2 separate regions of the Mus musculus genome follow, and region 1 is reported to be linked to region 2. The links are microRNA targets in miRTarBase. Many come from high-throughput screens and were not tested one by one. Region 2 holds a microRNA gene; the other region holds the end of a gene's coding sequence.

Region 1 (4,395 bases), not on the chromosome of region 2:
ACTGGCCTGATGTTGGAGTGGGCTCTGCAGGCTACATACTCTAGAGGCCAGGGCTACCACTGTGGCTGGGTTATGAGTTATGACAGGCTTAGGCGTTTCTCAGACAGGTTTGGTACCTGTAGATTAGGGACTCTCAAGGTATATTTCACTATACAACTGCTATTCTGGGCTCCATTGGATTCGCCACTTGTGCCTGTGTGCCTAATCATCACCGAGCACGTATCGTTGCCTAGAGAATGTTGATGTTTTCATAGGAGATTTTCATCTGTTAGATCTCAGTCATTAAAAGAAGCTAGGCCTGGGAGAGGCTCTGGGTGCCCAAGAAAGTGTCCCAGCACCTTGCAATGCAGTCTGCTCTCTCTTCCATCCCAGCCATTGGTTTCTTCCTCTTGTTTTCCAGGGAGATTCTGGGAACCCCCTTGTCTGCGAATCTGACAACACGTGGACCCAGGTGGGGATCATGAGCTGGGGCATCAACTGCAATGGAGTCCCTGTCCTCTCAGTTTACACAGACATCGCTGAGTACAATGAGTGGGTCAGCTATGTCTTAAGTCAGGCTTCCCGTATGGATCCCATGGGAGTCTTGGTCCTATACCTGTCTCTGGTGTTTCCCTTGGCCCTCCTGGTAGCTCTGTGACCTCCTTAGGCCCTGTCTTCCTGAGAGTTTTGAGTCTCCCACTGTGCCTTTTCTCCATTTTCCCTTTCTGTCTTTCTGCCCTTTCTTCAAATTCCAGTTAGCAGCTATTGCCACAGTAGACTGTGGCAGGGAGATTGGGGGCTGCAAAGTGCTCTGACTGGTGTTCTGGTTACTTGCCTCATGATACACCCACACTTGGTGGACTAACCTGGACTAGAGGGCCAGCTTGCCTGCTAGGTGGAGAACCATGACTCCATGATCTTGGGGACATCTGCCAAGAAGAGATAATATCACCTGGCTCTGTTTACATCACACAGCTTAGTGACCACTGAAAGAGAGGGAGAACAACCGGGTGTGGTGGCACACACCTGTAATCCCAGCTCTCGGGAGGCAGAGGCAGGCGGATTTCTGAGTTTGAGGCCAGTCTAAAAATCTAAAAAGTGAGCTCCAGGACAGCCAGGGCTACACAGAGAAACCCTATCTCAAAAAAGAAAAAAAAAAAAAAAAAAGAAAAGAAAAAGAGAGAAAAGAGAGAGAGATGGAGAACGAGAGGGTTGGAGGAAGGGAACACTGGCAACTCCCTACAGAGGTATGAGGTTGGCACTTAAGTATTTGGGAGCTGGCAGAAATTATCTTGTACCCACTTGGGAATCTGCCAGGGAATGCATAGCCTCTGCCTCATAGGCTTCACAAGAAGGCAGTCCTGCCTGGCCCCCTTCCTCAGTACCTCAGTGGTCACATCCAGGGTCATCCCAAGTTGCGTTGAGGTTCTGGAGAGGGGAGATCTCAAACGTAAACTGAATAAATGTTTGGAGAACGTCCTGTGTGTTGTGAAGCTCTGCTCACCTGGGGTGTTTGGCTTAGAGAACTGGACCCCATTTACCTAGGGAAGTACTCGCAGTTCCTCTTAGAGACAGAAGAGCTGAGTCCTGCTCCCTGTGTGCCTGGGCAGGAACTTTTGCTGGGCTTCACTACTTTTACAGCCAGCCAGGAGCAGCTCAGGGGAGGCAGGAACTGGGGTGGGGGTGGGGGCGGGAGGGCCCGCAGGGATGAAACTGATTCATGAGAAAAAGTCTTTCTTCTGGTTATTAATGTGACTTTATTTTCAAAGGCCGTGTTCCCAAAGTCAGGAGGATTTTAAGAAAGATTCACTACACTGTATGCAGCTCTTCTACCTCACACTGGGTTTTGGTATCCCTGACTGAATACTGATTTGCTCACAGGTCTCCTCCAATCTCCCTCTCCCACTTTCGTCTTTCTGGGGTCTCTGTTTCATCCTCTGTCCTCTATGGCTTTTGTGGGCATTCAGTTCCAACCGTTGCCCAAGGAAGGATGAACCCATCCTCCACCCCCAGTTTTGTTTGTTTGTTTGTTTGTTTTTTGAGATGGGATATCATTATGGGGTCCCTGGCTGTCCTGGAATTAGTGCTGGGATTAAAGGTGTGTGCCTCCACACCCTGCTGTCAGACGCATCTCTGTCATGAACACATACATCACCAAAGATGTTTTTAAAAAAATTATCACTGGACATTGACCTGCTGAGGTAGTGTTTGCCTGTATCTCCATCATCTGAAAGATGGAGGCGAGGACAATCAGTTGTTCCTTTGCTACAGATGGAGTTTGAGGCTAACCTGGGATACAGGAAGTGCTGTGTCAAAACAACAACAAAAACCCAAACCACCTCCACTCTCCAGAAACCGCCAGCTCTTCGTAGACTAACAATTTTAATTTTGCTCACTGTAGCGCGTTATTCTATGTGGACAGGTAGCTCTCCCCCATTTTATAGTCCCACTCTTAGCCTCATGGTCCACCCTTCACCTGTGTGAGCATACGCTGAGAGTTTGTTAAAATCCACATTGCTGCCAGGAGTGATGGGACACATTTGTAATCCTAGCACTTGGGAGGCAGGGGTGGGAGGATTAGCACAAGTTCAAAGCCAGCCAAGACTACACAGAAATGGACCTTGTCTTACGGTTTTATTGCTGTGAAGAGACACTATGACCAAGGCAACTCTTACAAAGGAAAACATTTAATTGGGGCTGGCTTACAGCGTCAGAGGTTTAGTCTGTTACCACCAAGGCGGGAAGCATGGCAGTGGGCAGGCAGGCATGGTGCTATAGGAACGGTGAGTTCTACATCTTGATCCACAGGCAGCTGAAAGAGACTCTAGTTGGCAGGCAGCCAGGAGGATGCTCTGATTCCACCCTGGGCGGAGCTTGAGCACAGGAGACCTCAAAGCCCGCCCACACAGTGATGCATTTCCTCCAACAAGGCCACACCTCCTAAGTGCCACTCTCCATGGTCAAACATTGAAACACCTGAATCTATGGGGGTGAGGGGGGAGGCAAATCTATTCAAACCACCATAGACCCTGTCATAAAAAATTAAACAAACAAACAAACAAACAAACAAATCCATATCATTGGTCTCACTAAGGGAGTTTTCAACTTCAACTCTGGAAGTCTTGGCCAGGGCCTGAGGATGAAGATTTCTAGCAAGTTCCCAGGCGTTGCTGGTCCAGCTGTATGGAGGAGGCCTAACGTTGGGAACCACACAGCGGCAGAAGGCAACCTTCTCTTGCTTGCCTCGATATGCGATTGGCACCGTTTACTTATTCAGATTCATTTAAACGCCAGGCTGGGGGCCTGGAGAGTTGGCTCAGGGATTAAGATCTTCTACAGGGCCCACATTTGATTCACACAAACCCACATGGTGGCTTCTAACTCCAACTCTATTGGATCTGATGCCGCCTTCTGGCTTCTGTGGGCATCAGGCACATACTGTGGTGCACAGACAGTCATACAGATAAAATACTCATACACATAAAAATAAAATGTAAACGAACAGGCTGGGTGATGGGGTCCCCAGAGCTCTGTTGGACACCTGGAATAAACAAAGGAAACAGAGGAATTTTGATGATCGCTTCCCAGTCTCTGCTAGGCTCAGTAAATCCACAAAGATCATCCTTTTGTGACAAGCTCTCTTTATGCCCAAAGCCAGGCAACAAAACAAAACAAAAAGAAACAAACAAAACCAACAACAACAACAAAAACTAGCCAGTATTTGTCAGTGGTAACATCCTGTCATATTGCTGGTCCTTGGAAGAGGACAGCTGCCTTCTTTATTCAGCACCCTGCTCCTATCTTGATTTAGTCTTAGATCCAGTTCAGCTATTACGTTCTCAAAACCGTTTTTCCTAACCATATTGTTATTTGCTTTCTTGGGCTTTCCCGGTCCTTGTTAATAGTGACCGTGAAACTCCTTGTGCAACAGGCTGAGAACAAGGTATACCCTGAGGCTGGATGGGCATCAAGATGCCAATCCCAGCCCAGGGATCTTTGACCAGTTAGGCTCCAGATGCACCGCCAGGATCTTAGAGCACTAGGGGTGCTGTCATAGATCTGGAATCTAAGACCCAGTCCCAGTCAAGGGATCTGAAGTCATATTAAGGACGAGAGTGGGTCCAGATGCCAGAACTCAAAGGACCTGAAGAGGCACGGTCAGGCTCTTGGCGCCAGGTCAGTCATGTGTCGAAGACGCCATCGCGTACTGGGATGTGGGCACGTGACAGCACGCCGCAGCTATCTCTGCTGCCCTTAGGGACAATATTCATGTATGGCTACGTCATTGCGCGGCCTGGACGCTGGGCCTGGATCCTTGAGGCGCTGGATCCTAATCTGCTTTGCGGCGCTACTGTTGCTGCCTCCGCGGCCAAACTTAGGTCAGGCAGGCACCTCCTTCTCCATTGTCCTTTCTTT
Region 2 (4,395 bases):
AGAGATACGCTCATGTGTTCAAGATGCTATGTTTGATAATTCATCTAAAAACATGGTCACATAGGTTACTTAAAATTCTATGTCAGTGAAATTGTCTTTCAAAATGATTCTCTCTGACCAATGTATGGAAAACCAAAATATTTTAGGCCATCCTGTTTGGAAAACCAAATCGTAAGGACAAATTAATGGCAGCAGAGTGACCATCTGAAGACAGTGGCAGCTATTGTTTTGCTCTGAGAACAAAACTGAATGAAGTGCAGCACGAAGGGTGTCACCCAGAGGTGAAAATTGTCACTTAGAGTACTGTGGTGGCTACATCTATTATAAAGCTATAATTTCTCTCTTTAAAAATAGATTATTGTACTAGTCAGGATTCTGAGCCTTCAAATATAACAGTGCAAGCATTTATCGTTTGTCAATCAATTGTCAGGTACAACAATTGAGGTACAACAGGCAGGACCTGGACCCAGCAGGCACTAGGGAAAATGAGGAAGCAGGTAACAGTATCTTCCATGGAGTACTTGTATATGAATCACAAAGATCTGAAGCAAGCATTCCAAACCAAAAAAGAAAACTGAGTATAGTGGCATATGTGTATAATTCCAGCATTTTCAAGGGGGAGACAGATCAGCTACAGTTATAATTGCAGGCTAGCCTGGGAAGCATGAGATCTTGCCTAAAAAAAACAAAAACAAACAAACAAAAAAAAAACCAACCCAAAGTTACCTGTCTTTCCTTACGTACATCCACAAAGAAACCGAACTTTCTTTTGGGGCAGATGTTTAATTAGACATGGAAAGCCACTATGGAAAGAGCTGAGAGAGAGAGAGAGAGAGAGAGAGAGAGAGAGAGAGAGAGAGAGAGAGAGAGAGAGAGAGAGAGAGAAAGAGAGAGAGAGAGAGAGAGAGAGAGAGAGAGAGAGAGAAAGAGATAGATATGGGGGAAAATGAATCCATGGCAGTGACTTTTTTAATACTCAGTTCTGTCCTTGCAGCTTGTTTGAGGGAGGGTGGCTCTTGCTTCTGCTATATAGTATGCTCCAGGCTAGCTGGCTTTCAAGCTTCTTGGCGATTCTGTGTCTGCCTCTCACCTCCCTTGTAGTACTGCTGGGATGTACTCAACCACAGGTAGCATTTTTACCTGAGCTCTGGAGACTGAACTCAGGTCTCAGTGGCCCAGAATGTTAGTTTCTTGCTGCTGTTGTAACAGATGACTCTCTGGCTAGAAAATATACAAGGGTATTCTGCAACAGTTTGGCAGACTAGGAGCATGACATCTGTCTTGCTGTGCTGGTGTCAGGGTATTGCATAGCTGGTTCTTCTGGAGATGAGGGAAGAATCCATCCCATGCTGTCTTTTACTTCCAAGTGCAGCTTCCACCTGCATTTCTTGGCTTATGGCTCCTTGCTCTGTCTTATATTATGTTACCCCAGTTGAACTGCTTGTCAAATCACTGCTTCTCTATAGCCAAATTTCCTTCCACTTCCCTGTCAAAGGACACTCTTTGTATTAGGATTTACATGGTCTGTTCTTCATGATCTGTAACTGAGTCACACCGGCTATCTTTTGGAGCATGGCTTAGGATGAGGATATTCCTGGGGTAGGGGATGCTCAACCTAGTATATGACTGAGAGAAAGATGAAGGAAGGTGTGCAGAACTCAATCCTGCTTTTGAAAGGTTTTTAGCCTCCTACACACCTAATTACAATGAACAGTGAGCTTTAGCTACATCCTCAGAAAACTGCCATAAATATACTCTCCATTTCCTAGGAATTTCCTTCACAAACTCTTACCTAGACTTTAAAGCCCCTTTAAGTGTCTCACATTTGTGCTTCTCCTATGCCTTCACCTTGGCAAACTCGGTACAAAAGAGAGTGAATATCTCTGTCTCCCTATTTCTGCATCCATACATTTCCTTGAGAGATAAGTTTTGTCCTTTGTATGTTGTCTTTCAGATCCACCAATTGGCTTGAAGCCATGTTAAAAAACAAAACAATAACAAAACAAAACAATAACAAAACAAAAAAATAACAAAAGAGGATGTGGAAGGGGGAAGTGGAAGTGGTTCATTGGGCCTGAGTTCAAATCCCAGTACCCATGTAAATAGCTCAGTGTGGCTGCACATGTACCTAAAATCTCAACATTGTAGAATACAGACACAGAAAGACTGTTTGGGTCTTGCTGGTCACTAGCATAGCTCCAGGTTCACTGACAGACCCTGTCTTAAAGGCATAAGGTAAAGAGTGGGAGAGCATGACAAGTCAGGTAACAGGCTCTTTTATAGGCACACACACAGAGAGAGGGGTTGGGCAGGGATGGAAGGAAGGAGGGAGGGAGGGCAGGAGAGAAAATGAAAATGAAAACAATAGCATTTTTAAAGGTAGACTGTCTAATCTTTGCTGCAGTGCAATGGTTTTTAAAACAGAGAAATGAACCACATCGACCCCAACTATGCCCATGCTGAGTATTATACAAAATGTTGGCAATACTGAGATCAAGAATTCACTCATTTGGAAAGAATAGCAAATGCCACATACAGCACTCCTTGGCACCAGCCACTGTGCTTGACTGTGCTGTACACCCCTGCTCTTTTAAGTTAAGATCAGCCAAACAAGATCTTGCTGGCTCTTCTGGTCACATGGACTATAGAAAAGGAGCTCACAATCTATTTAGTGGCAGGCGCACACTGCCAGAATGTGTGAGGCATCTTAATAGTGTGCTGATGACACTGTTTTGGAAAGGAAGGTTTGTAACACTTGGAGGTGGGGGGTAAAAACAACTTAGGGAGTCTAGAAAAGCATTTTACACAGAATATTCCAAGCAAAGTAGGAAAGGACAACAAGAGTTCATTGGAGGCAGGATGTTGTTTAATTGCACATATTGTATAGAAAATAGTGCAGGTATGTACAGATGTATAGAGATGTATAGAGATGTATAGATGTATAGAGAGGGATGAATGTTGATGCTTACTTCACTGTCTCTTTGTTTAGTCCAGGACCACAGCTCATATTCAGATTGGCTCTTCCCTGATCTTTTAAGACGTTCTGATAACATCCTCATATACTATCACAGGAGTTGTCATGGTGATTTTAAAACCTATCAAGACTACAGAGAACATTAACCATTCTGTAAATAAAGCAAAAGGAATTTCTTGCTTTGGGACTCAGTCCACCAAGTACGAAAAGCATCAATGGGCCTGCATCTACACTTCAGGTTAGAAAGTCAGGTTGGCAATGGAACCAGGACAGTTCTTTTAATAAGAGACCTGGTGTAAAAAGTTCCCTGTGCCCCAGGTATCTGTGCTTCACACTCATCTGTCAACAACCGTGATGTTCTTTCGTTAAAGGAGCCAGTGGGCCAAGATGGATGGGCTCAGTGGGGGAAATGGCCTTCTCCAATACATCTTGTTATATAGACCATGGCAAGCCTGACTAACATATGTAGAAATATCCTTTAAATCATTCTGGATGAGATTTCTTATGGATTCTCAATCAAAGTCATCCAAACTAAAAACATTGTAATTAAAACTCCAGGCTCTTAAGGTTTGTCCTCTGGATGACCTAGAATAAATCCACAAAGCTGTGATGGCCGACCTTGTGAACTCAGACACTAGCTAGGGTTTGAGGAGACGTTCAGCTGCTTCTTGAGAAATGGACCAGGTGTCAGGGGGATGGGCACAGTCCCTTTAACTCTGGAGAGGAACATACAAAACAGAAAGTCAGCAAACAGTAACATCTCCTGCCATGGCTCTCTCTTCTCATGGATATTTTCAGAGAAGTTAACAAATAACCACATGCCAACTATACTAATGAGTCAAGGAGTGCAATTGCTGAGAAAATGGCATTTCTCCTTTTTTAGCAAGAGCAACATAGCCAGGCAAACCTCCATGCTGTGGCTAGGGTGCCAAGTGTCTGGGCTTTGCCAGTTAAAAACTTGAATCAGTACATATGCTAGCTTCTGCCTGGCTGTGGTTACGTGATCCCATGACCAGTCCAGCCTTGACCTTTTCTTCTATTTATGATATTGATTGGATTTTGATCACTGTTTGAGCTCTTAACACAAAGTAAACAGCATCTTTCCCACAGAGGCAAGGGTTCCAGGATTTTAATCCTGTCTCCAAACACTTCTCCCAAATGTTACTCTGCCTCTCTGTTTCCATAGACAAGTAAGCAAGGAGCAATGTCTTTTTCCACATAGCAAAGAGTAGCCCCAGGTCAGTTACCTGATCACAGTCGTTCTCAACTCTGGCCTCACATTACAACCATCTTGTTATGTTTGTCAAATATGGCCAGGGGCTGGGAAGCTAGTTCTGTTAATTAAAATCATTGTCCTACAAGCACAGTGATCTGACTTGGATCCTCAGAACCCACCTAAAACAAACTTACAAAACCAACCA

Evidence for each region. The annotated mature microRNA mmu-miR-28b reads AGGAGCUCACAAUCUAUUUAG and lies in region 2 at 2,652-2,672, shown strand. An mRNA with a match to its seed (bases 2 to 7 or 8) in the 3' UTR can be bound and repressed. Matches are read on the target gene's strand: a 7mer-m8 pairs with bases 2 to 8, a 7mer-A1 pairs with bases 2 to 7 and ends in A, and an 8mer does both.
Region 1: miRTarBase lists Prss43 as a target of mmu-miR-28b. Seed matches in the 3' UTR shown: 8mer at 1,080-1,087.

Annotation. Positions count from the first base shown.
Region 1 is chr9:110,830,382-110,834,776 of GRCm38, forward strand. It overlaps Prss43 (protease, serine 43), which reads left to right. Exons shown (of 6, transcript NM_199471.1): 6 at 401-1,126. The coding sequence ends at 637. It overlaps Prss45 (protease, serine 45), which reads left to right and starts at 4,207. Exons shown (of 6, transcript NM_153172.1): 1 at 4,207-4,358. The coding sequence starts at 4,253.
Region 2 is chr8:73,013,872-73,018,266 of GRCm38, forward strand. Mir28b (microRNA 28b) reads left to right here and starts at 2,641; the gene lies at 2,641-2,720. All of the region lies in intron 6 of Large1 (LARGE xylosyl- and glucuronyltransferase 1), which reads right to left.